7 linked regions of the Ovis aries genome follow. The protein of the gene in region 1 binds, or shares a complex with, the protein of each later gene. Links are inferred from orthologs where the notes say so. Each region holds a gene or a part of one and is shown on either strand. Other genes may lie near its edges. The genes, in order: SMARCC2, PBRM1, ACTL6B, PHF10, ARID1A, DPF1 and SMARCD2.

The links.
Region 2: SMARCC2 (region 1) and PBRM1 share a complex: the UniProt entries of both Homo sapiens proteins name them as parts of the SWI/SNF-B (PBAF) chromatin remodeling complex. The link is inferred for Ovis aries from reciprocal best matches to the Homo sapiens genes SMARCC2 and PBRM1.
Region 3: SMARCC2 (region 1) and ACTL6B share a complex: the UniProt entries of both Homo sapiens proteins name them as parts of the BAF complex. The link is inferred for Ovis aries from reciprocal best matches to the Homo sapiens genes SMARCC2 and ACTL6B.
Region 4: SMARCC2 (region 1) and PHF10 share a complex: the UniProt entries of both Homo sapiens proteins name them as parts of the neural progenitors-specific chromatin remodeling complex. The link is inferred for Ovis aries from reciprocal best matches to the Homo sapiens genes SMARCC2 and PHF10.
Region 5: SMARCC2 (region 1) and ARID1A share a complex: the UniProt entries of both Homo sapiens proteins name them as parts of the neuron-specific chromatin remodeling complex. The link is inferred for Ovis aries from reciprocal best matches to the Homo sapiens genes SMARCC2 and ARID1A.
Region 6: SMARCC2 (region 1) and DPF1 share a complex: the UniProt entries of both Homo sapiens proteins name them as parts of the neuron-specific chromatin remodeling complex. The link is inferred for Ovis aries from reciprocal best matches to the Homo sapiens genes SMARCC2 and DPF1.
Region 7: SMARCC2 (region 1) and SMARCD2 share a complex: the UniProt entries of both Homo sapiens proteins name them as parts of the BAF complex. The link is inferred for Ovis aries from reciprocal best matches to the Homo sapiens genes SMARCC2 and SMARCD2.

The regions. Positions count from the first base shown.
Region 1 is NC_056056.1:163,372,006-163,375,505, reverse strand, and holds part of SMARCC2 (SWI/SNF complex subunit SMARCC2), read right to left. Parts: intron 3,469-3,500; coding exon 3,210-3,468; intron 2,972-3,209; coding exon 2,810-2,971; intron 2,542-2,809; coding exon 2,477-2,541; intron 2,247-2,476; coding exon 2,111-2,246; intron 2,037-2,110; coding exon 1,870-2,036; intron 1,215-1,869; coding exon 1,080-1,214; intron 71-1,079; coding exon 1-70. UniProt on the Homo sapiens protein: Involved in transcriptional activation and repression of select genes by chromatin remodeling (alteration of DNA-nucleosome topology).
Region 2 is NC_056072.1:48,331,430-48,334,929, reverse strand, and holds part of PBRM1 (protein polybromo-1), read right to left. Parts: intron 2,134-3,500; coding exon 1,948-2,133; intron 1,042-1,947; coding exon 884-1,041; intron 174-883; coding exon 1-173. UniProt on the Homo sapiens protein: Involved in transcriptional activation and repression of select genes by chromatin remodeling (alteration of DNA-nucleosome topology). Required for the stability of the SWI/SNF chromatin remodeling complex SWI/SNF-B (PBAF).
Region 3 is NC_056077.1:36,361,508-36,365,007, reverse strand, and holds the end of ACTL6B (actin-like protein 6B), read right to left. Parts: intron 3,487-3,500; coding exon 3,406-3,486; intron 3,300-3,405; coding exon 3,204-3,299; intron 3,011-3,203; coding exon 2,924-3,010; intron 1,311-2,923; exon of another isoform or gene 1,039-1,310; intron 317-1,038; coding exon of another isoform or gene 236-316; exon of another isoform or gene 213-235; coding exon 117-212; 3' UTR 103-116; downstream 1-102. UniProt on the Homo sapiens protein: Involved in transcriptional activation and repression of select genes by chromatin remodeling (alteration of DNA-nucleosome topology).
Region 4 is NC_056061.1:91,171,691-91,175,190, forward strand, and holds part of PHF10 (PHD finger protein 10), read right to left. Parts: intron 1,058-3,500; coding exon 902-1,057; intron 1-901. UniProt on the Homo sapiens protein: Involved in transcription activity regulation by chromatin remodeling. Belongs to the neural progenitors-specific chromatin remodeling complex (npBAF complex) and is required for the proliferation of neural progenitors.
Region 5 is NC_056055.1:240,201,273-240,205,213, forward strand, and holds the start of ARID1A (AT-rich interactive domain-containing protein 1A), read right to left. Parts: upstream 2,801-3,941; 5' UTR 2,038-2,800; coding exon 892-2,037; intron 1-891. UniProt on the Homo sapiens protein: Involved in transcriptional activation and repression of select genes by chromatin remodeling (alteration of DNA-nucleosome topology).
Region 6 is NC_056067.1:47,409,509-47,413,008, forward strand, and holds part of DPF1 (zinc finger protein neuro-d4), read right to left. Parts: intron 3,258-3,500; coding exon 3,097-3,257; intron 3,022-3,096; coding exon 2,914-3,021; intron 1,515-2,913; coding exon 1,387-1,514; intron 1,116-1,386; coding exon 1,026-1,115; intron 634-1,025; coding exon 555-633; intron 372-554; coding exon 240-371; intron 1-239. UniProt on the Homo sapiens protein: May have an important role in developing neurons by participating in regulation of cell survival, possibly as a neurospecific transcription factor. Belongs to the neuron-specific chromatin remodeling complex (nBAF complex).
Region 7 is NC_056064.1:47,807,701-47,811,073, forward strand, and holds the end of SMARCD2 (SWI/SNF-related matrix-associated actin-dependent regulator of chromatin subfamily D member 2), read right to left. Parts: intron 3,199-3,373; coding exon 3,103-3,198; intron 2,964-3,102; coding exon 2,862-2,963; intron 2,715-2,861; coding exon 2,553-2,714; intron 2,423-2,552; coding exon 2,325-2,422; intron 2,166-2,324; coding exon 2,030-2,165; intron 1,870-2,029; coding exon 1,747-1,869; intron 1,629-1,746; coding exon 1,527-1,628; intron 1,436-1,526; coding exon 1,382-1,435; 3' UTR 501-1,381; downstream 1-500. Other genes in the region: PSMC5 (26S proteasome regulatory subunit 8), read left to right, coding at 1-65, 155-241, 340-393. UniProt on the Homo sapiens protein: Involved in transcriptional activation and repression of select genes by chromatin remodeling (alteration of DNA-nucleosome topology).

The sequences.
Region 1 (3,500 bases):
CTGCGTACTTCAGCTGCTCCATGTGGAAGGCTTGCCTGTCGGCCAAGAGCTGCTGCCTCTGGTACTCCAGCTGCCCGGGCCGACGGAGAGCTGTCACCCGGGGGCTGGAGACCCCAAAGGCACACACCTTGCCCCCTGCTTTGTCTTCTGACAAGCCCAGCCTCCCATTCTGGCGATCCCCACACCAAACCTCAGCCTTGTGCTTGGCTTCCGCTGTTCTCGCCTCCCCTCCCCTCTCCAGTTCCCCCCACCAGGTCTTCTGGCTGCCCACATGGCTTCTCACTGCAGTGGACAAGTGGACTTAATCTGGTGGTAGCCTTTGTTCATTTTCAGCTCCAAAGCTTTGAATTTGTCATTACTTTCATCTGGAAACCAACCCCTACCCCACCAACCAACCAAGTTCCTCTAGTCAAATCATGTTCTTTCCCTCCTTCAAAACTGAAGAAAAACTCACAATTCTTAGGAAGCCCTCCCAGATCACCTCACTAGCCTCTGAACTTTGGCCTTTATTCTGCTCTCACTCAGGATTTTTATGCTTGATTGGAAATCTCTCAATTTTCATTTGTCAGATGCTTGAAGCATTAGCCAACTTTGACGTCTCCATATTGGATATCTGATATCTTCAATTGAGGAGTTCAGGATCAGAGTCCTTATCTTCTACTTTTATATCTTCTAAGAATCAAAATGAGTCGACACCATGTCCATCCTGTTCCCTTTCCAACTTTAACCCCTGGCTCTGAAGCCCTTACCCTCTCATCATGCCTTAAACCTGTTTAATCACTCAACAATCACTCCACAGCCAAGTCTACCGTGGACTAAGCACCCTTTAAGGACCTGGAGATGTGGCAAACTTGACCCTGGGGCTGACATTCTGTGGGACCTCAGTCTCCAGGCTGTACCTGTGGGTCACTTGTCCCTAACCGCCCAGGCTGGCTCCTCCTGCCCTGGTCTGGGCTGGTCTGCTCTGCTGTGATACTGTCAGCCTCAGGTTCTCTGTATTGCTGCTCTCCTTGCCCTAAACTGCGGCCCAGCCCACTGCCAAGGTGGGGCCCCGCCAACCGCCAGGGGACTCGACTCACTGCTTCTCGCTCCCGGTCCATGATCGTCTCTAGCTCCTCAAAGTGCCGGAGTTTGATTTCCAACTTTTTCATCTGGGTCTCTACCAGCAGGGCCACCAGAGATTTGATCTTCCTCTCCTCAACGGCAGCCAAGTGCTAAGGAAGGAAGGGTGGGGTGGCCATCAGTGCGAGGACCCAGCTGAAGACACTGGGCAACAGAGAAGGGTGGTGTGGGGGCTGACAGGCTTTAAGACAGAACTTGCTGTGGTCACAACCCAGAGAGTAGCGCAGGCTTGAGTGGTGTTTTTAAAAGAACATGAAAAAAGAGAGGATATCAAAGGATAAGGAAAGGTCAAATAATTGAGAGGGTGGAAACAGGCCCAATCAGGACTTCCCTGGTGGTCTGGTGGTTAAGAATCCACCTTCCAGCGCAGAGGAAGTGGGTTCGATCCCTGGTCAGGGAATTAAGATCCCGTAGGCCGTGGGGCAACTAAGCCCACGTGCCCCAACTGCCATAACCAGAGCCCGTGAGCTGCAATTACTGAAGCCCTCTCGCTCTGGAGCCTGCGCTCTGCAACGAGAGAAGCCCACATGCTGCAACGGAGACCCAGTGCAGCCAAATAAATAAATAAACTGCGAGACAGGCCTAATGATAAAGGCTTAAAAGAGGTAAGAGGTGACCAAGCGTTCCTCTCAGGATCCAAAGGGGACAGGAGACAGGCCAGCACTGGGTAAGGATGACAAGGCAGGCTTCCCTCCAGGTACCGTGCGATGAGGAGCAGCACCTCCTTCCCTGGGGCTGAGGCCTTACCTTGGCCTTCACGGCGGCAGCAGCCAGGGCGGCGGCGGCGGCGGTGGAGAGGTTGCCCTCGCCAATGTCGCGCTCCACCTTCGTCTTCCTCTCCCCCTCTGACTCCACCACTTCGTTCAGCACCTCCTCCTGCCCTTCCTTGGGCTCCTTCTCCTTCTCAGGATCCGCTGGGCCAGGAAAAGGGTCGTGAGCCCTAGAGCCTGGCTTCCTTTCTGAACCCCAACCACCACGTGAGGCTCACCTGTCGGGTCTCCGTCACTCTTTTCTGACTCCTTCTCGCTGTCGCCATCTTTCCCTTTCTCATCGTCCTTCTTGGGTGCCTCACTGGTCTTCTCCTTTGCTTCTTCCTCCACAGTCCCAACTCCTTCTCGAGGTTCCTGGAGTCCCAGGGAAAGGAAAAAGGGGAGTGTCAGGGTGCTGGTTCGCACACAGCGGGCCCAGACCAGGAGCTGAGTTTACACCTCTTATCTGGGAGAGGGCCTGGATCCAGGCTGCGAGCCCCATCCAAGCCCAGCCCTCGCCTGCCCAAGCTCAGTGGAGCCGGCTCCCCTTCCCTGGTCCACGCTGGACCCCTTTGCCTTCCCAGCCCGTGTCAATCCCGCTGTACCTTGGGTTCCTTCTTATCCTCTGTGGCCTGGCCCTCCGCCCGTGCCTCATCAGTCCCGCTCTCCTCTGGGTCCAGGGGAAGAGGAAACAGGAGATGTCTGACAGTTGGTCTACAACACTCTTCCAACTGCCCCTTCTAGCCAAGATCTTACTGAGAGGACCAGTGGGGAGCCACGGTACCTAAAGTAAAGCCCTGAGGAAAATGAACACCCCACCAACTCACCCCATCCGTCTCATGCTCTGAGGTCAGGTGGAGGCAGGGATGGTATGGGGAGGCCAGGCGGCTGAGGCTGCTGGTAAAAAGGGAGGAATTGGGGAACACGGCAAGCCTTACCGATCCTCTCCGGCTCATCGGAGGTGGTCCCTGCGATGCCACTGCTTTCCAGACCAAAGGCTGGGTCTGCCTTGCCTGTCACTTTGGCGGCTTCTTCCACTTTCCTAACGTGGGCCTCCACCAAAGCTGTGGGTACCTCTTCCTTCATTTTGGAGAACTCTTCTGTAAGACCCAGAGAGGGGGAGGCTGGGAGCAGGCAGGTAGGCAGTTCTGGCACTCTCTGTGAGAGCTCCCTCACAAACCCAGCTCTTCATCTCTGCCTGCGTGGAGCTGGACCGTTGCCTGGGCTGATGCCAGCCGCAGACAAGGCCAGTAGGGCAGTGAACTTGAGGGGGTTCCACAGTCAGAGTACCCAGCCTTTCAAATGCAAACCAAGAGGGATGGGAGCCCTGCGCGTTACCTAGGGCTGACTTCGCAGCAGCTGAGGCCACTCGAGGGTCGACGACAGAGGCCAAGAAGGCAACGGTGCTCATCACGGGGTTGCCTGACTGGCTGAAGGGGATGGGCTGGTAGGCCAGGGGGCCCAGGGAGGCCTCTGAGTCCTCCAGGTACGGGTCTTCGATGGGAAGCCGGAGAAAATGCAAGATGCATTCATCCTGTGTGCGGCTTCCCACGTGCTCTGACACTTTGTTCCAGTCATCTTTGTACATTTCCAGTGCCTGGTGGTGGTGGTGGAGACACAACCTCACTT
Region 2 (3,500 bases), on another chromosome or scaffold:
GAGGCCACTCGGACCACAGGCAAGGGCACATCTCGAGGGACAAACCTAACCGAGCTGATGGGCATGGTCCACAGTTTAATTTTCTTAAAAGATTTGGTTTTGGCAGAATATCGTGATTCACAGACAAAAACATCCTCATCTCGAAAATTTTCTGGGCATAATTTAAAGTATTCCTGGTGGATATAAGAATAAAATCAAGTAGGTGAATTTTCTGAAAACCAATCAACCAAAAAACACAAAAACACCAACCAAGCAAAGAAATAAAAGCTAAAGTGTTAAGACTTTTTGACAACTAACAACAAATGGTAAATGGTTAGAGATTAGGAGTATTTCCTTGTATAGAATGGCATTGCTCAGTATATTCTATTTAGCTTATTTAGTTTACCTCCCTGATGAACAGGGAGGCCTGGCACGCTGCAGTCCACGGGGTTGCAAAGAGTCGGACATGACTGAGCGACTGAACTGACCTGAAGTTTTACCAACTGCCTCTATGACAGTACATTAGTATTTTAGACAGCCAGTTCTTTAAAGCTTTGAGCCTGTGCCTATAGTAGACAGACAAACAAAAAGTACACCATAGAACCACACTGAAGATTTAATGATTCTTCAGAAAATATCATCTTTAAAAATTTGTCTGGCGATATAAAAAAATTTAAGCTAACTGCATACAGCTATATAGCATAGGCAGCAAAAGGTCTTTCACTTTTATGCTCAGATTTATTTTTCCTCAAATCTTTACATAAAGCCAGAGACACAGCCTAAAAAAATTCAAACAGTTTTAAACAGAGCTATTCATTTTGTAAATATCAATTTTCTGTGGTTGTGAAACTCCATGTAAACTCCATGAAATAATTTACTGTTTGGGGATTAATAAATTTCTTACCTTGACAAACATGACCACACATTTTCCTAGAATTTTACTAACAGGAACTTTATTGTAATAGTCACTCTTAAAAACTTCTTTTTCTAGAAATTTCCGTGTAGCCAAATGGAATGTTTCATTTGGCCGATAAAACCAACAGCCATATAACCATTTTTCACCTCAAAAACAAACAGGGAAAAAGAGGGAGAATTACCATTAATGGAAATAACATATTCTTTGTAAAATGAGCAAAGACTCCATCCATTCTGCCATGGGCTGAACCGAGCAATGTGCTTTTAGGCCATGGTTCCTTAACAGAATTACCTTAGAAGAAATAATACTAAAAATACTAAAGTGCAATGACACCTACAAATGCTACTTTCCCCCTTATAGTAAAAGATGTAAAATAAATAGAACAAGGAAGGGGATGGGACCTACTCTACTCTGCTGAGTCAGGACACAGCTAAAGCTGTGTGCTTTAATAAGGATGTAAGATATACTAAAGGACATATGTAGCACTTGGGTTAAAGAATACTAAGGTATTTTATATGATGAACAGCTGAAATAAGTGGATTGTCTGGATCACACTTCTCCTTGGTTTTGGCTTCATTAACTCCTATTCATTCTCTGTTTCAAGTTAAAGCCAACTGTTCTAGGAAGCCTTTTTGAAATCAAATTCTAGGCCAAATTCTAAGCCACATGTCTCTCTATAACAATTTCTTCTTTATTTGTGACTTTTACCAGAGGGGTTTTGCCAGGGACAAAACATAGACCTTTCGTTCTTCTGATTCTTGGCCATCCTACAGGGTTTGGCTCTCGGATTTTTTTAATAAGCATCAGTTGAATGAATGAATCTCATCTAGACTTCAAGAAGTTGTGTTTCTTTTGACTCAGCTATGCCACTGCCCAACAGTGCTCAATCCTATGTTCCTCATATAGTGGGCAGTGAATTGTACTTATTAAGAGTGTAAAACTACTACTGTGGAAAGGCATAAAATGTCTGAGTTACAATTTCCTTCCCTGAGAAACAAGGAGTAAAATAATCACATCTCACCAATTTGCTCCCCAATTTAAAATGAACTTACCAGCAGAATCTTCCCACAGCCTCTCAATACAGACGATATGAGGTTGTAGATTGACCTCTGAGGGCTCCACATAGACGTAATCTCCAACATGGTACATGCTGTTCTTAAAGCTGCAGTCCTGGCTGTATGTGCGATGTAAGCCTGAGAGGCCTGCAGCTCCTGAGGAATCTTCACTCTTTTCAGCTTCTTAGGTAAAAAAGAGAAAAATGTTCTCATGAAAGGGATGTGGCAATCAGATGCAGGATTAAAACTACACATACTAATACATTTAATCCTTTTCCAGATACTCCAAGGCAGGATTCAGGACAAATAGTATGATATCCACATTCCCAACAGTCTCTACTCAAAACTGTCTTTTTAAATTACAACCAATTGCCACTAATTTAAATACATACATAAAGTATCTACAGAATAAAAATAATCACCATAATAATATATGCTCATTGTAGTCATTTTGGATGATACAGGAAGGTATAAAGAAGAAAACAGGCCACTCATAAGTCATGTGATTCTAGAGATAATCTTGTATGTACTTTCTTGCCATCTTAATACCACTGAAATTTCTTTCTCCTGTTATTACATGGTTATGTCACAATGAATGGAATCTTAGAACTAACGAGACATGAATTTCATTCAACATACTGTAAACTATATATGAAAAGTATTAGTCACTCAGTCGTGACTGACTCTTTGCGACCCCATGGACTGTAGCCTGCCAGTCTCCTCTGTCCGTGGAATTGTCCAGGCAAGAATACTGGAGTGGGTTGCCATTTCCTTCTCCAGGGATCAAACCTGTGCCTCCTGCAATGCAGGCAGATTCTTTACTGTCTGAGCTATCCGAGAAGCCCAGATACTATATCTTTATACACTTAATATCATAAAAATTTCCTCTGAGATCAAATGCTTTTCAAGATTTTTAGTTTTGCTAAAGCATATTTTTTAATGGCTTCTATATCATAAAGCTGGAATTAAGATTGCCAGGAGAAATATCAACAACCTCAGATATGCAGATGATACCACTCTAATGGCAGAGAGTGAAGAGAAACTAAAGAGAATCTTGATGAGGATGAAAGACAAGAGTGAAACAGTGGGCTTATAAGTCACCATTCAAAAAACTAAGATCATGGCATCTGGTCCCATCACTCATGGCAAATTGATGGGGAAAAAGTGGTAGCAGTGACAGATTTTATTTTCTTGGGCTCGAAAATCACCATGGATGACTGCAGCCATGAAATTAAAAGATGCTTAATCCTTGTAAGGAAAGCTAAAACAAACCTAACCAGTGTATTAAAAAGCAAAGACGTCACTTTGCCAACAAAGATCTATATAGTCGAAGCTATGGTTTATCCAGTAGCTATGCATGGATGTCAAAGTTGGACCATAAAGCAAGCTGAGCGCTGAAGAACTAATGTCTTCAAACTGTGATGCTGGAGAAGAGTCTTGAGAGTCCTTTGGACTGGAAGGAGATCAAACCAAACAATGCTAAAGGAAATCAACCCTAAATATTAATTGAAAGGACTGATGCTGAAGCTCCAATACTTTGGCCGTCTGAT
Region 3 (3,500 bases), on another chromosome or scaffold:
CCAAAGAGGCCAAACTTTTTTTTTTTTTCTTAAAACATGTTTACTCCCTTTAACCCAGAAACTTCACAATCAAGAGGACAAGTGGGGAGGAGAACAAAAGGGGGCCGATGGGAACGTTAGGAGGGTGGCTGTCGATCCTGCGCTTGCAGAGCCGAGGTGGGGGAAACCGTCTTCTTCCGTTCGCTTTCCCTCCCCCACCGCTGCGGGCCGGCCTGTGGGTGGGGAGGGGGCGCCCTCAGGGGCACTTCCGCTCCACGCACTGTTTCCCGCCCTCCTCATATTCCTGCTTGGAGATCCACATTTGCTGGAAAGTGCCCTGGGTGGGTGGGGCGGGAGGGCGGTCAGGGAGGCCAGGAGGGAGGGAGAGCAGGTTCCCTATGCTCCACCCGTGGAGGTTCGGAATCTTCCCCCTCCCAAGCCCACATCCCCCCACCCCCCCGCAACCACCAACTTGCCCCATCTCCCTGTCCCCTCCTTCGTATTCAGAAGGCGGATACCCGCTTCATACCGTTCAATCAACGATGCATTCACTGAGTATTTACTGAGCACCTGTCAGTTCGGAGCCCAGGGCGGTTCGAGCTGGGAGGTGGACCTTCCAGCCGCAGGCCAGCGAACCTGCGCTGCAACACTCCATATCCCCTCTCCACCAGATACCCCGTCACTCCATCAGGCCTTACATGCCAAGTCTCCCTCCTTCCCAAGAAAAATCTTTCCTCCACCCTCCTCACCATTCTGACACCACCTAACATCAAGGTGGGGATGATGTCTTTATTTTGGCACCCCACCCCACCCCCCCACCCCCTGTTGAAATAGGGTCCGCCAGCCCTGGCACTTTAGACTGTGCCATCTCTATGATCACTTGCGTCTGCCTGAAAGTCAGTGTGTGTGTCCCTGTTTCTGGACACACCTTCCTGGACCATGTCACCTCTCCCTTGACTTCTGCTTACTGTGCCAAAGCCCCACCCTTCCCATCATCTCCAGTTTCCAATGCAGAGCTCCCTGCCGAGTTCCCGACCCAAATTCTCAACTGTCTTTCAGACAGCTTCCTGGTCCTCAGTGTCTCCTGGAACCTCACTCAGTCAACATATCCATGACTGCTGTCACCATCTTCGCCCAGCCCTGCCTCAAACCTGCTTCTTTGGTCTTTCTCGCCTTCTACAGTTGCCCTGTCCAAATCCAGTGGCCCCTTGCCACGTGGAACACTTGAAATGGAGCTATCGAGCACGTGAAATGCAGCTAATCCAAGATGAAATGTGCTCTCGGTGTCAAATCTGCACTGGATATTGAAAATAAATCCAGAGGATGTGAAACGTCTCACATTTTATACTAATTGACGTACTGATAGTACTTTGAATAAGTAAGTGTGTTAGGCGCTCTATCATGTCCGACTCTTTGCAAACCCATGGACTGCAGCCCACCAGGCTCCTCTGTCCATGAGATTGTCCAGGCAAGGATACTGGAGTGGGGCGCCATTTCCTTCTCCAGGGGATCTTCCCAACCCAGGGACCGAATCCGGGTCTCCTGCACTGCAGGCAGATTCTTTACCTGGGTCTCATCCTTGACCCCTTTCCTTCTTACCTCTCGTATCCAAACGGTGCCCACATTCTCAGTCAGACCTCTGATAAGCTCCCAACCCTCTCTCCCCTACATCCACTCTGCTGGCGACCCCGGGTCACAGTGGAGACCGCGGTAGCCCTCTCCAGCCCACTCTCTGCTCTGTAGCCCAGCTTGTGTGCTTAGTCGCTGAGTCGTGTCTGACTCTGTGTGACTCCATGGACTGTAGCCTTCCAGGCTCCCCTGTCCACGGGGATTCTCCAGACAAGAATACTTGAATGGGTTGCCACGCTCTCCACCAGGGGATCTTACCAACACAGGGATCAAACCTAGGTCTCCCGCATTGCAGGCAGATTCTTTGCCATCTGTGCCACCAGGGAAGCCCAGGTGAGCTTCCTCAACTCTGGCCCCACAGCACCTACCCCCTGCCTGTGGCCTTGCCTGGCTCTCCCCTGGGGCCACACACGCTCTCCTGCTTTGCCTCCTGAGTTCTCACTCTTCCATCTCAGCCTGAAGGTTCCTTAGAGGCCCCTCCTGATGCCTGAATGAGATCAGGTCTTCCTTTGAAGGAACACCCCACACTTTGTGGTGACCTCCTCTTTGACTGTCTTGGCTTCCAGACTGTCCCCATGCACGAAGGCAGGGATGAGGTCGGGCTGTCTGTCCAGGCGTGCAGGAGGCTTGCCACGACTGTGCAACTGACACTTTCGCAACCCTGAGCTATCTTCGGGGGGTCAGTCTTCTGTCACTCTGACCCTTGCTTCTGTCCCTTTGGGGGCACCGCCTCTAGCTGATATCATCCTTGTCCTGTCATGACCCTGCTGTCCCCCTCTGTGTAGCTGACACTCATCAGATGCAGTCTGCATCTTTACCTCTCTGCTCAACGTCTTGCCCCTGCCCCAGCAGCTGCTCCAGACTGAATTCCCCACCTACCACCACAGAACCACCCTGACTGCTGCCTTCGGTTTGTCCCTTGCTCACCACCCTATGCCCACTGCTACCCATCCCGTGACTCTAGGACAATAGAAAGAGCCTCCCGCCAAGGTCCCCTTGAATTCAGCTCATACCCCCATCCCCAAAGTCTCATGTCGGACATAACCTTCCCAGTCATGCCTGTGGCCATCAGATCCCCTTGCCCCAAACCTCTAGGGGCTCACCCTGGCACACAGACTACCACAATCTCATCCTAGCCAACCTGTCCAGCTTCCTGTCCTCCACTCCCTGCTTTGTGTCCTGAGATCGCATTCACCTTTCTGGGAGCACTGACTGCCCTTTCATAAACAATGAGCGAATGAGGTGGTAGGCAAGGTGGTGGGGCGGTCTGGATCTACCCCACATTCAGCACTAGGCCAGGGCCCTCCTCTCTCACCAGTGAGGCCAGGATGGAGCCCCCAATCCAGGGGCTGAACTTGCGCTCCATGGTGCTGTTGCTGGCGATGAGCTTCAGCCTCATGCTCTGGGAAGAAAGAAGGGCTAGGGGAAGCAGACACCTGGTTCTGGGAAGTGGGAAGGGACAGGGCTCGGAGTGGCGAGGCCATAGCGGGAAGGAGCCGCTTTGGTGGCCAGAATACTGGCTCAATGTGTGGGAAGGAGGAAGGACTTGGTGCTGAGGGGCTGGCCCAGGGCCCTGGCCGAGGGTGGGCTCCTACCGGTGGAGTCTTCTGGGAAAGCTCTCGATTGAGCCTGTCAGTGAAGCCCTGCAGGAGCGTGTTCCCACCGGTGACAATGACACTGCCGTAGAGGCCCTGAGAGCAGGGAGGAAGAGTGAGCGATCAGGGCACAGCCCCGCCCTGGCACCCACGCCCCCACTTCTCCTGGACCCCTCCACCCAGAGGCAGGCTTGGGCCTCACCGGACGAATGTCAATGTCGCACATGCCGATGCTGGTGGTCACCACGTGGCCCACCCCTAACATGGTGTTCCCCGACAGGCCCTGTGGAGAAAGGT
Region 4 (3,500 bases), on another chromosome or scaffold:
TTTTGATCATCTTACTCTAAAACGCTCCTTCAAAACACCTTCATAAGCCCATAAAAAGCAGACTGACACCCACCAGACTGAACCTGTGCATTTTACTATCACCATTCAAAGCGCAACCCTGCAGCTAATGCTGCTCCTTTCGCGACGATCTTAAACCCCCACATATGAACGAGGCTGCTCACCTCTCACCCAACCCTCTGAAGGAGAAGGGGCAGCCAGCAGAAAGAAACGCTGAAAGTAATACTATTGCTGACAGTATGCTACCCGACTGAGAATAACTCGATCAAAAAGCTAGTAAGTTATTGCTAAGCCAAGTCACCTTGCCAGATGATGTGTGAATCCTTCTCACAGAACTGCACAGGCTACTCACCACGGTGAGGCTACGAAAGCACCACATTTTACTACTTTCCATCGCAGAGTTAGCTGAATTTGGCAAATGGATCAGATAATTCTCAGACTGAACCCAGATCATTAATGAAAGGCACCACAGAAACGCAACTTTTCTATGAGGACTTCCTCCCCAGTGCACTGCTCGGTGCTGCTAAATACCAGGAAGCTTTCCGAGTCAGACAACGATGATTTTTACACTGAGAAAACAAAGTATTCAGCTCTGCCTATTAGATCACTTTTCAGAGACTCATACTTGCCTAGTTAGTACATAAAAAACGATTCCCTTGCCAGTCTCACATATACAGGAAACAGACGCTGACCCAGAGCCCAAGTGACGGAAAAGCCACCAGGAAAACAGAGCGAGAAGAAGGCTGGCAGAGGGCACACCCCGCGGGAGGGGAGCGAGGACGGGCAGCAGCAGGGGCACCGCAACTCTGAAACTCAGAGGCAGAGTGTCTCAGGGAGAGAGGCTGGTCAGAAGGAAGCTGAGTCAGGGGCTTTTTTCTTCTACCTTGTACCCAGGAACTGACTTGGACAGTACAGAGCGTTTGGAAGCATCTTTGCGTGGAGGGGCAGCCTTGTCCTTGGGCCTCTGTCTTCCTTGCAAAGGCTCCTCCTGGCCTTCGGGAAGGCCTTCCCCCTCGGACACGTTGCCAGAGGAGCTGTCCTGCAAGTCAAAGGCACAAACACAGGTCCCTTGGATTCATGCAGATTTGAGTCTGAATTCTGAAAACTACAGAAAACATCCAAAAAAAGTTTTAAAGTTCCATCAATTTCAAAATAAGATAATTCCGATCTAAGAAAACACTTCCAGCGGAGAGTAAGATAAGTCATGTTAAGAATCATTTCTCCATCATATAAATACATTATACCTAATTCCATTTATATGAGATAGTACCTTAACTGACTTTGTTTTCTGACTGAATTTGACAAGAACATAACCATTACTTCAGTTATTAGTACACCACATAGCTTCAACACCATTTTACGATGTCACAAGGGAGCATACTTGTTTCACACAACAATATTCTTTAAAAAAACTGCTTGAAGTAAGAGTGGGCATTTTTACTAAGTAATAAAGGTCATTAAAGAAGCTCAAGCCCAGAATCGTGTCTTCATAATATTAAACTATGCAAAGCCAGTTATCGCCAAGTATTTACAACAGTATCAGACATATCAGGTTGGTACAAAAGTAACCGAATCGTTGAAATTTGCCTTTGATATTGGAGTGCATTCTTAAATAAATGTGGTTATGTCGCACATCGTTTTAACGTTCACTTCTTTATGTTTTTTTGCTAACAACATTACTTACTGTTTATATTTATTCTAGAATATAAAATAATACAAATATTTTAGACTATGGGTTTCCCTGGTGGCTCAAACAGTAAATCATCATCTCCTGCAATACAGGAGACCTGGGTTTGATCCCTGGGTTAGGAAGACGCCCTGGAGAAGGGCATGGGAACCCACTCTAGCACTCTCGCCTGGAGTATCCCATGGAGAGAGGCGCCTGGACAGCTATAGTTCATGGGGTTGCAAAGAGTCGGACACAACTGAGCAACTAACACTTAAGACTGCGGAAATAATTTTAAACAAAACCAAACTCGAGTGATTTTCTTATTTGAGTCCAAAATGGGTCATAAAGCAGAGGAGAAAACTCAACACCAACAACAGGTTTGGCCCAGGAACTGCGGACGAACACACAGTGCAGTGGTGGTCCAAGAAGTCTGCAAAGGAGACGAGAGCTCTGGAGGTGAGCAGCGCAGTGGCCAGCCACAGGAAGCTGACGGCCACCAGCCGGGAGCCGTCGTCGGAGCCCAGCCTCCCACGCAGTCTTCACTACGCAGGAAGCTGCCGAGGAGCAGCGCCGGCCACTCCACCGTCACCGGCATCTGAAGCAGACGCAGCTCCGCTCGGCTCAGCTGCTCAGTCGTGTCCGACTCCTTCTAACTGCAGCGCGCCAGGCCTCCCTGTCCCTCACCAACTCCCAGGGCCTGCTCAAACTCATGTCCATCGAGTCGGTGATGCCATCCAACCATCTCATCCTCTGCCGTCCCCTTCTCCTCCTGCCTTCAATCTTCCGAGCATCAGGGTCTTTTCCAGGGAGTCAGCTCTTCGCATCAGGTGGCCACAGTATTGGAGCTTCAGCTTCAGCATCAGTCCTTCCAATGAACACTCAGGACTGATCTCCTTTAGGGTGGACTGGTTGGATCTCCTTGCAGTCCCAGGGACTTTCAAGAGTCTTCTCCAACACCGCAGTTCAAAAGCATCAATTCTTTGGTGCCCAGCCTTCTTTACGGTCCAACCCTCACGTCCTAAGATGAACCAAGTTGGAAAGGCGACAAACCTTGATAAGTGGGCGCCTCATGAGCTGACCGCAAATAAAAAAGCACCGTTTTGGCGTCGTCTTCTCCTATCTTTGCGCAATAATGAATCATTTCTCGATCGGATTGTGATGAGCCACAAAAAGTGGATTTTACAGGACAGCGACAGCCAGCTGACCGCAGCGCTCCCCGAAGCCGACAGTGCATCACAAAGAAGGCAATGGTCACTGTTGGTGGCCTGCGGCTGGTCTAATCCACTGCAGTTTTCGGAGTCCCAGCGAAACTGTTACATCCAAGAAGTATGCTCAGCAAATCGATGAGACGCAGTGAAACCACAATGCCTGCAGCGGCGCAGGCGACACAAAGGCCCGGGTCTCCTCCAGGGCAATGTCCAACCGCTCGTCGCACACCCAGCCCTGCGAAAGCTGGAAATGGGGCTGCGAGTTTTGCCTCATCTGTCACGTTCACCTGACCTCACCAGCCAACCACCACGTCTCCAGGCACCTTGACAACTTTTTGCAGGGAAAACCGTTCCACAAGCAGCAGGAGGCAGAAAAGGCTTTCCGAGAGCTCGTCGAGCCTGAAGCACGGGGTCTACCCAGAGAAACAGACTTACTTCTTACTGATAAAAATGTGCTGCTTGTAATGGTTCCTGATTTGATTAATAAAGATGTGTCTGAGTCTACTCATAACGACTTAAAATTCATGGTCCAAAATTGCATTTACGTTTGCACCAACCTAAATATTTCGCATGTTCCAAACTTAGGAGCTCAATAATAATCTAAT
Region 5 (3,941 bases), on another chromosome or scaffold:
AAAGGCAGATAGTGGCAGCGATGGTTTGGGTTATCACTGGCAGAAAAGCAGAGTGTAAAAGTTTATGAGCTCATCAGGATTGTTGTACCATTACATCAGAGGCAATTATAAATGGCCAAGAGCAGGAGATGGGGAGCCAATCAGATCACAGATAGGATGTCAACCTAAGACCAACTGTCTCCTGGCTTTGACAGAAGGATTTTACCTCCATAATTCAAATCCCAAACCAAAGCAATCTGCACTTACTACTCCAATCACTCAGCTGTTTACCAGCACTTCCAGGGAGAAGCCCAGGCCACTGGGCCGACGGAGACTAAGACAGGAGACGACCTGGGCTGCCCAGGGTGAACCGAAGCCGGGCTCTAGCTGCTCCCAAGCAGGCCCCTGCCCTCCCTCGAGGTCCCCCCGAGCCCGAGGGGCCCCCTCCTTGAAAGCACAGATGGGGACCGGCCTAGAGGAAGGTAGGGAGGGCAGAGAGGAGCGGCAGGTGAGCAAAGAACTGTTCACTCAACTCCCGACCTCCGAGGGCTGCCTACACCCCTAACCTGAGCCCCCAACACCCCCTCACCCCGGGCCGGGCCCTTTTCCCGCACACCCGGCTCCGCACCCCTCTGAAGACCCCCCGGAGCTGGAAGGGACCCGGGGAGGAGGAGGAGGGGAGCAGACACCTCAAGGAAAGCCCCACACAAAGGCTGAAGGAGGGAAAGAGAGGAAGGCAGACGGGCAGCCATTTTAAGAGAGAAAGAGCGAGACAATGGCAGCTCCCCAGCAGTGGGGGCCCCAGACTGGGGGTAGCCCACGGCCGTGGCCCGCTCCCCGCCGCCGCCATCCACTCCCAGGACCCCCCCGCCCCACTCGCCACAGCCCCCCCTACCCCACCAGCCGTGTTACCTGCGGGGTCCGGGCGAGCGGCTGCCCCCCGCCGCCGCTGCTCCCAGGGCTCATGGGCGCGTGGTGGCTCCTTTGTTGGGCCCCTCCCGAGGCGGCCGCGGCCGCCGCCGCCGCAGCAGCAGCAGCCCCCCAGCACTGAGAGGCCATGTCCGCCGGGCCCTTGCCGGCGCCCCCGTCCTGGGGCCCGCCGCCGTAGTCGCCCCCGGGGTAGCCCTGGTAGCCCCGGGCCGAGCTGGGCGACGTGAGCAGTTGGTTGAGGGTGGGGGTGGCGGTGGGCTGGGGGGTTCCCCCTGCGGCCGCTGAGGGGCCGCCTCCCCCCATGGCCCCGAAGCGCTGCTGAGCGAAGGACGAAGACGACGAGGAGGCGGAGGCGCTGGAGGAGGGAGGCGGCTTGGAGCCGGCGGCCGCCGCCGCCGCCGCGCCGGAGCCCGGAGTGCCACCTCTCGGGGAGCTCAGCGCGTAGGCCTGGGGGGGCGGGGGGTAGGCGCTGCGGTTGGGGTAGTAGGAGTTGTACTGGTGGTTGGGGAAGCCGTGGTCGTGCGAGTTCTGCTGGGGCCCCGCGTAGGGCTCCAGGCCCCCGCCGCCGCCGCCGCTCTGCAGCGCTGCCAGGCCAGGGCTTTGTTGTCCGCCATGTTGTTGGTGGAAGACGGCGGCCGCGGCGGCGGCGACGGCAGACGGGCTCCGGCCGTAGGGTTGCCCGAAGCCGTAGGCTGGGGGCGGCAAGGCGGCCGCGGCTGAGTGAGGAGGCGCCCCCACCCCGTCGCTGCTGCCGCCGCCACCGCCGCCGGGCGGCTCCGTGAGGTTATTGTTCAGGGCGGGCCTAGGGCCCGCGTTCCCGTTCGAGTTCTTCAGGTCCGGCTCCGCGCCGGGCCCGCCGGCTCCGCCGCCGCCGCCACCCCCATTGCTCTCGGCCCCGTCCTGCAGCTCCTTTCCCAGTGGCTGCGGCGGCCCCACGGCGGGGCCCTCGCTTTCCTGCCCGGCGGCTGCCTTCATTTCCCCGCGCTCCGCCGCGACCGCCGCCGCCGCCTCGCCCCCCGCCTCCTCCCGCTGCTGCTGCTGCTGCTGCTCCGCTTTCTTCAGCTCCGAGGGCGGCGGCGGCGGATTGCCCAGGCTGCTGGCGGCGGCGGGGGCGACCTGCGCGGCCATGATCCCCGCTGTCTCGTCCGCGGAGAGACCCGGCCCTGTCTTCGTCTTCTCTCACCCCCCTCCCACCCCACCCCGCCCCGGGGCCGAGTCCCCCCGGGCTTCCCTCCCCACCCGCCCGGGCGGGCCTCGCGGGGCTCCGCGGCTTTTGCGCTGCGCTCGCTCGCTCGCTCGCTCGCTCGCTCCTCTCCCCCCCGCCCCGCCGGCTCAGGCTCCGGGCTGGCGGCGGCGGCGGAGGAGGAGGAGGCGGCGGCGGCGGCCGAGGCGCCGGCGGCTCAGCTGCTCCCGGCTCTGTAAGCTCGGGACCCGGCTCTCCCGGCTCATTCCCCCCCAAGCCCTTGCCTGGGAATGAGGGGGGCGGTGGAGGCTCCGCTCCCCAGGGCCTGGCCCCGCTGTGACTCTCCGCTTTCTGCTGCCGGAGAAAGGAGGGAGGGAGGGAGGGGAGGGAGGGAGGCGAGGGGGAGGGGGCGGGGAGGGAGGGAGGGAGCGGGGGGAGGGGGACCCGGGACGGGCGGGCTGGAGGGCGCGCGGCAGCAGCCCGGGCGCCGGCAGGCAGAGTCGGAGCGTGGGCCGGGCCGGGCGCCCTGCCTCCCCTCCCCGGCCGCGGCGCCGGGCCGAGGCTGCTGCGCGGCGGCGAGCGGGCGAGCGGGCGGGCGGCCGGACTGAGCGGCTAGAGCGCCCCACTCTCCTCCGAGTCCCCCTCACTCCGACACGAGGCTCAGCACTGCCATTTTACCCAGCGCCGTCGCGGCCGCCTGGCAAACCCGGAACGGAGCGCGGAGCGGGGCGCAGGCCGTGGAACGGACTCGCTCCCTTCCCCTCACAAAGGAGGAGGGGAGAGAACCAGCCGCGGCGGCGGCGGCGGCGGCGGCAAGCGCTCTGCCGCTCTCGCTCGGCAGCGCCGCCGCCGAAGGCTTCGGGGAAAACCCGGCCCGGAGCTCGCGCCTCTCCGGAGCCTGCGCGCCGCCTCCCTCCTGGCCTCCCTATCCAGGTCGGTCCCCTTCGCGCCGCGGGCAGCGTGAACTTTACTCGCGGCTGCAAAATTGGCCTGAGCCCGAGACCGCGGCCGCCTCGGCCCAGGCCTGACCCCCCCTGGCAGCGGGCCTGGTCTCTTGGCCGCTACTTAGCATCTCCGCGGCACTTTTCCTTCTTCAAAGCCTTTTGCAGACCTGCTCCAAAGACCCAGCTGAGCTTTACGTTGTATCCTCTTTGCAAGCTGCATGGAATGACAGATCATTGTTTCAGACTTTCCGTTTTCCCACTCTCTGCCCTCATTAGCCGGTCCTCACAGGCCCTGGGGGCACGAAGTTCCTGATCCCCATTTTACAGACTCATAAGATAGCGAAGGGGACCGGCCTATCACTTAGTCTATCACTTACAAAGACAAGGGCAGTGGAGGGTGACTTTAAAAAGTAGCAGAGTCCCCAGTGCTGCCCCTGTCTACTTAGCGTTAGAAATAATAGTAATAAAAAGAAAAGTGGTGCCATATACAACAGTGGGATCAGAACATCAGAATGGGTTTGAGATTCAAGCTGGTCATCTCAACCGATATAAAATGGTCACCCCTGAAGATATTTTGGGGACATATGACCGCCTTCTTGGAGGAAGACACAAGCCCCACCTTTGCCCACAATGACCAAGGTCCCGTCTCCAAAGACAGTACCTGTAAGACTGTAACAGACCACAGAAGAGACTCCAGGGACTGGTGGAACCTGAGTGTTCAAAGGAACCTCTGCCGAAGAGGGATGACCAAGTAGAGGGAACCGTTTTCTCCTTAAAAAGAGAGAAAAGGTGCAGTCTAACACCTCACTCAGAAAACAGATGCAGCCTAAATTTGTTTTTCTATCCTTCATTGTAAGGAATCATTAAAGTTTACTGTTACATTCTAAGAGATGCTGAATGGGAGA
Region 6 (3,500 bases), on another chromosome or scaffold:
CCCCAAGCTCTAATTGAAACAATAAATCAGACCCAGAAATATTACGCCCGGCCGGGAGAGAGGGAGAGATGGTTGGTTGCCATGGCAACCCCAGAGCCAGCATCCCCATGGTTGGTGGGGGGAGGGGACCGCTGAGCTGGAGATTTTCCAGAAATGCCTAATGTGCCCCCTCCCTCCCAGGCTCCTTAGCCCCCACTCCCAGGGCCCCTCACCACCCCACGCCCTGCCCGCCTGCTCACGTTTATGGTTGTTTTTCCGGTGGAAGGGCAGGGCGTGGCGTTCGGCGTTCTCCTCCCCCTCCTCCTCAGCCAGGTGGGTGTGGGTGTAGTGGTAGCTGAGCCCTGGCCGATTCTTATACCGTTTCCCACAGACTGGAGAGTGAGCAGGGAGGGCCGGTCAGCCCTCCAGCCCCTGCCGCCTCCACCCTGGCCTCCAGGATCACACCTCCCCCCCTCTGCCAGGGTCCAGAACGGGAGGGAAGGGGGCCAGTGGGGGGCAAGGTCTCTGGGTCCCACTCTCTCTCTCTCTCTTCCCCCCTCTTCAGAAGGACTCACTATCACAGACATACGGCTTGTCTCGGTCCTCCAGGGAAGCGGTGTCCTGGCGTTTCCGGAGCCCCCCGATGCCGTATGCCTGAGGGGAAAGTCAGGAGTGAGGGGCCAAGAAAGGGAAGGAACTAAAAGAATTTTCACCATTTGGACTTGAAAGCCCAATCACAGCTCTGCCACTTCCTAGCTGTGAGTCTAGAGTAACTCTCTTGACCTCTCAGAGGTTCCATTTTCTCATCTGTGCCACGTGTAGGAAGATAGCTCTAACCCCCTGTACAATCTCTGTTTTGCAAATGGCTTAATATGCCCAAGTCTCAATTTCCTCATCTATAAAATGGGTATAAAAATCCCCTACCCCTTCAAGCTGCTCTGAGAGTTAAATAAGGTAAAATTGGGGCAGGGTCTGAACACTGCATAAGCAATCAATGGAACCTGCCTTGAGGGGAAGGGTGATGGGGGGAGGTTTGGGAGTAATACCTTTCCTTTGGCCCTGTTCTTCCTCCTGGGCATGTCATCCTCTGGGTCTTCCACTTCAAGATCATGCGGAAACTCCAACAGTTGCTGTTTCTGGGCACCAGGAGAAGGGAGACTGGGGTCAAGAAACGGGGTATTGTTCTGCTTTGGGAGGTAGTTCTGGACACAGCAAAGATCAGGGGTGGCAGGGCAAGTTAGGAGGTCTTCCCAAAAAGAGATGAAGTGTGGAGGGATGGAGACAGGATGCTCAAAGGTCCTAGGGAATCAGGGGAGATTTCAGAGCAGGAGCAAGATGGGCCAGGACACAGGCCGGTTGAGAGGGCAGCCACAGCCCCTGGATGGGTGGGGGGCTGGGCAGTCCTACCTGACAGTCCATAATGGTCTCCTCCTCCTTCAGCTCTATCTTCTTCTCCCCTGTCTCGGCACACAGGAGAGCCTCAAGGACTGGCCCCTCGGGGAGGCCACCCTCCTTCTTCAGTGGCGCTTCACAGTCTGGGGACAAGACCACGGTAGGTAGAAGGGGGGTCAGGTGAAGAACTTGTCCCTGGAGGACTCCTCAGACTGCCCAGGTTGGGGAATCATGCTCTTTTCTGGAGGAAAGAGGCTTTCCCACACTCAACCAGCAACAGACTCAAATACTCAACCATCCATACCACCCTCATTACTTCCACACATCCTAAGGATGCCCAGACCCTGGAGAAGACACAGTCAGACCATCAGAGACCATTGGACATACTCAGGAGAAACATGGCTGGACCCTCCTATATAACTACATAATACAAGTAGGAGACCCCACCCAGACCCCCACAACTGGAGAGAAGAGACATTCAAACAGGACATACATGGACATACACAAGGGAGATACAGACAGATCATCTGAGACAGCCAGAAACACAAGGGAAGAGGTACACCCAGACACTCAGATACACCCAGACTCACGGAGGAGACATAGCCAAACCCTTGGGCACACTCAGAGACACTCCAAAAGAGAACATTAGACCATCAGATAAACCCAGACCACATGGGGAAAACACAACCAAACCCTACCAAACACCTGAACATACTTAGGGGAGAGACACCAGAGAATCACTCAGATGGATACTCATACACACAGGTGATACAGACAGTCCCTCTGGGACAATCAGACACACCCAGGAAGACAGAGCCAGATGGACACGCCAGTACACCTGCCTGGACCTACACAGATCCTTGGTTATACCTGAGCAAGGGAAGAGAAACAGCCAGTGACTCTATCAGTGCTGGACACATTTGAGACGTGATAAAGCCAGGCACTCATGGCGCAGCAGACACGGGCAGAAACACACCTGACACTCCAAACAGACACTCAGGGACGAGACTCTCCCAGACATTCCAGAGCATCTGGTACTCAAAGGAAGAGAGACACTCAGGAACAGATAGACCAGACACACTTAAGAGGAAATAAGCCTGGAAACACCTGAAAAGAGACACAGACACCAAGACACGCTGTACTACAAATGGAAAAAGTTACAACCAGACACTCTGACACACCCAGACACACACTCAGACATCCACAGGAAAGAACAGGCAGATACTCTGATACATCCCAACTCACAAGGGAAGAGATATACAAGGATGGGATACACCTGGACACGCAAAACAGATACCACGCTCTGCCCAGGAATACCCCTGGGTCCAAGTAGAAGACGCAGTTCAAAATACTCGGGGAAAACTGGAGAGTGTCTGTACTACCCCCAGACACACACCAGCATACACAGCCCGTCACTCAGACGTGGGCCGGGAGGGTGATAAAGGCAGATGCTCAGAGGCACAAGGGCATCAACACGCTGATCAGCCAGTGGTGTGGGCACCCACCGGGGCCACCCCAGGCACAGGACGGAGCCCCACCTACCGATCTTGTACTCGCAGGGCCGGAGTCTGGGGTCTTCCAGGATGTTGAGCCTCCGTTTCTTTCTCCAACAGCGGGCCGGGTACGTATAGATCTGTCCGGGGGCCAAACCTGGAGTAAGAAGGGCGGTAAGAACGCGGCTGGGAAGCCGCCACCCCGCCCCACCCCCGCCCTCCCGGCCGGTACCCGGGCCGCGGTGGGTCTTCTCCATCCAGATGTAGCAGTTGTTCTGGGCCACGCCGGTCTGCGAGTCGAGGAAGGGCAGGCGCAGGCTGCGCTCGGCGCACAGGCGCGCGTTGTAGCTGCGGCAGTGCTCGATGGCCTCGCGGTAGAAGTCCTCGCCTAGGCTGCGAGGGGCGGGTAAGCGGGCGGGCGGCTGTCAGCAAGGGCAGGAGCACCCGGTCGCCCAGCACCCCTCCCCCAGCCCACCCGTCGGGAATGGGTGGGCCGATTCCTCCAACCTCACCTCTCCCCTCCGGTCGGGACCCAGGAGCCCCCAACCCGGGACTCAAGCGGGCCTCGAGCCAAGGAGTGGATACAATATAGGAACAGATAAAGATACACCAGGACACATCCATTCAGGCACATAT
Region 7 (3,373 bases), on another chromosome or scaffold:
CCCGGGGGATCAACCTGAGAAAAATTGCTGAGCTCATGCCGGGAGCGTCAGGGGCTGAAGTGAAGGTAACAGGAGTGCCCAAGGGAAAGGGGGCAGAGGCAGGAAGCACTGGGTTCAGGGCACAGCGGCATCTCCCCCTTCTTTCCCTGCTCAGGGCGTGTGCACCGAGGCTGGCATGTATGCACTGCGGGAGCGCCGAGTGCACGTCACGCAGGAGGACTTCGAGATGGCAGTAGCTAAGGTACAGGGCCACGCCTTTCTGCCTTTGCTGGTGGTGACTCGAGCAGTGGGGTCGGGCACGTGTTCACTGGGTCTCTAACTCAAATGTTCTCTCTCCAGGTCATGCAAAAGGACAGTGAGAAAAACATGTCCATCAAGAAACTATGGAAGTGAGGCAGACGTCCTTTGTGTGGATCCCTCAAATAAAGCTCTACCGGTCAGGACCTTGAGGACTCGAGTCTGTTAATCAGCAGCTGCACTGTTCAATCACCAGGTCTAGGTACCACCAATAAACAAAGATTTATTTGGAAATTTCCAAACCTGCCAGAAGTGGCGTTTGCCAAGCCCTCGGCCCACCCTCCTTAACAGGCTCCAAAGAGCAACAATAGTCCTCCCCATCTCCCACTGCCCTCCACCGAGCACACACACACCCACGCCTCAGGCCACGCCAGAGAATTAGGGTGCCCTCTCCCTAGGAGGCGTTACCCTGGGCCCAAGAACTGGGGTGACAGCCCTCTGGCATCGCAGGAGATGATGGCGGCCAGAGCCGCTTGCATAGATTGAGAAAAGAAAATAAGGGACCCCCCAAGTAGGGCTCCCTGAAAACCCCCAACACACCCCCATAAAAAAAGTGGCTCCCGCATAGAAAATCCTGCTCCACAAATAGTGCAAATAACCCGAAGGAAAGGAAATTACCAGCAGCAAGGCTGGGCTGGTAGGAATGGCAAAGAACTTTGGTTTGGAAAGGCTAGGAAGAAAGGGAGCCATGCTCCTCTTCCTCACCCCGCTCCCTGGAGCCAGCGTGGACACTCGCCCCAAGGGGGTCTGTAAACAAGCAAAGCCAGGGGCCTCTGGTTCCAAAAGGTCTCGGTTAAAATGTCAAAGCAGAGCCTCCAGGTCCTTCTCAGGCCTGCCTGCAGGGGGCACAGGAGGCCTCTCGTGAACCCAGTTAAAGCCAATGTGTAAGTAAGAAGGCTTTGGAGGACCAAGCAACAAGGAATCCTATCACTACACTTAAGAAACTAAAGCCGGGGAGCCGAGGGTAACTGGAGATGCCCCTCACCCCCTCGTTATCCTACGTGTCTGCGCCCCAGAGGGTGGTCCCCTTCCAGGCTGAGGGCGTGGCTCCAGGCTGGGAAGAAAGGAAGGGGTCCCTGAGCAGTTAGGTCAGGCGGATTCCCAGCACCTGTTCCAGTTCCTGCCTTCGCTGCTGCACCTGGAGCAGGGACAGACCAGCGGCTCAGGCCCGGCTGCCCACCCTGCCCTCCGGTATGCCCTCCAGGCCAGCCAGGGCAGAGCCGCCTCACCTTGGCAAAGATGTGCCTCCCTACTGCTTCCTGGGCCCAGGGCTGGTGGTAGAAAGCTGCTCGTCTCTCCTCCTCCGGGTTCCCAGTCACATCAGTGATGATCTGTAGAGCACCAGGAGCAGAGCTGAACGCAATTCCCACCCCTGAGCCAGAAGAACGGTGCTGGGGACAGAACCCCCAGAGCTTAACGTGGGATCACCCTCAGGAAAAAGGGGCACACCTTGAGGTCCCGGCGCTGGGAACGGAGCCACTCCTGGATGAAGTCCTGGGGGTCAGTGCTAAAACTGAGCATGAAATCCCTCTGGGTCTTCAGCTGGTTGATGGACTCAATAGTCTCGTGGATCTGGGCAAAGGGGTACGTGTCAGACTGGCTCCCACCCCGACAAGGTCTGCTTCCAGCCCCAACCCGAAAGGACTCAGGTCCCATCCCAAGGTGCTATATAAATGGAAATGCCCGACACCTGCCCATGCTCACTGGGGGCCCAGAGGAGGTTGGGGCCCACCTTGACATCAAGGGAGGCGATCTCCTGCTGATTGGTGGTAGAGGCCAGAAAATTGCTCATCTGGGCCTTGAGCGGGTCATCCACCTCCACGTCAATGTCGTAACAGGCTGTCTTCTTCTGGTCGTTAGGGTCCACGCTACACGGCACACGGGAGAGAGCTACTTCCCTCCCGCCCGCCCGGGGCAAGACCACACACACCCAGGGAGCAAGAAACCAAACGTGCTGCTTTGCTTTGGCTTTAATTGAAGTCAAAGGCAAACCCCTGAGAGCAGCGTTCCTCCCCCTTCCCGTTTACCTGATGACGTGGTTGATGACAATCGGGTCTGGATGCTGCAGCAACCCTGCCAGCTTCATGGGAATCTCAGAGAAACGTAGTCGGCCACAGCTGAAGATCTGGGGAGGGCGCCAGAGGGTCGGTGACGCCCTGGTGGGCACATGGGGAAGTGGCCCGTCCCGGGGCGGTGTGGCGCCACAGGCAAGGCGGGCGGGGGCTGGAAGGGGAGGGGGCGGTGTGCCCGCTTACCTGGCGGAAGTAGCGGTTGCAGTTGATGTACTCGCGCTCGTGGCCGTCCTGCAGCTGGTTGTGTTTGATGTAGAGCCACAGGGCCTGCATGATGGCAGCCCTCGTCTGCGTGTGCACCCCCAGCAGCCTCGCCAGGCGGGGGTCCAGCTTGTACTGTGGGGGCTGGCATGGACAGACGGGAGTCAGAGGAGGGAAAAAAAAACCCAAAGCAGGCTAGGGCAGGGACAGGAAGGGTTTCCAATGGGCACCTGCCCCCGCCCCAGATGACAGTCCCCGTGAGCCCAGACGTGGCCTCAGGGCACTCGTCACCTGATGATCCAGCATGAGCAGGAGGGTGCACTTGACGTTCAGGTCTCCAGGCCGTTTCACCTGGAAGCCGTCTGTCTCCTGGGTGGTGGGCATCCGGTGCCACTGGCAGGAGGAAGGGGAGTCAAGCTCATCACCAAAGGGGCGGGCAACATACGCACCTGGCCCTGCAAGGGGACTGAGGCCATTCCTCTGCCCGCCGGGCACGGCACCCTGTGGTCCCAAGCCCCAGGCCCGCTCTCACCTCTACCAGGTGGTTGTCTGGCCCATACAGTTCCTTGTCCAGCTCGATGACGAGGCTCTTAAAGAAGGAAGAAAACTTCCGCTTCTGTTTACTAGGCTGGGGATGTAAAGGGGGTGAGACAGGGGTGCCATTGAAGGTTCAAGCCTAAGCCACATACTAAGCCCCGAACAGAGGAATATTGTTTCAGTCCTAAAGCTCAGGGTACTGAGGATTCTCAGGCCCTGAAAGAAGCAGGGAAAAGTGAGACCTGAGGCACAGAAAGGGTCCCTAG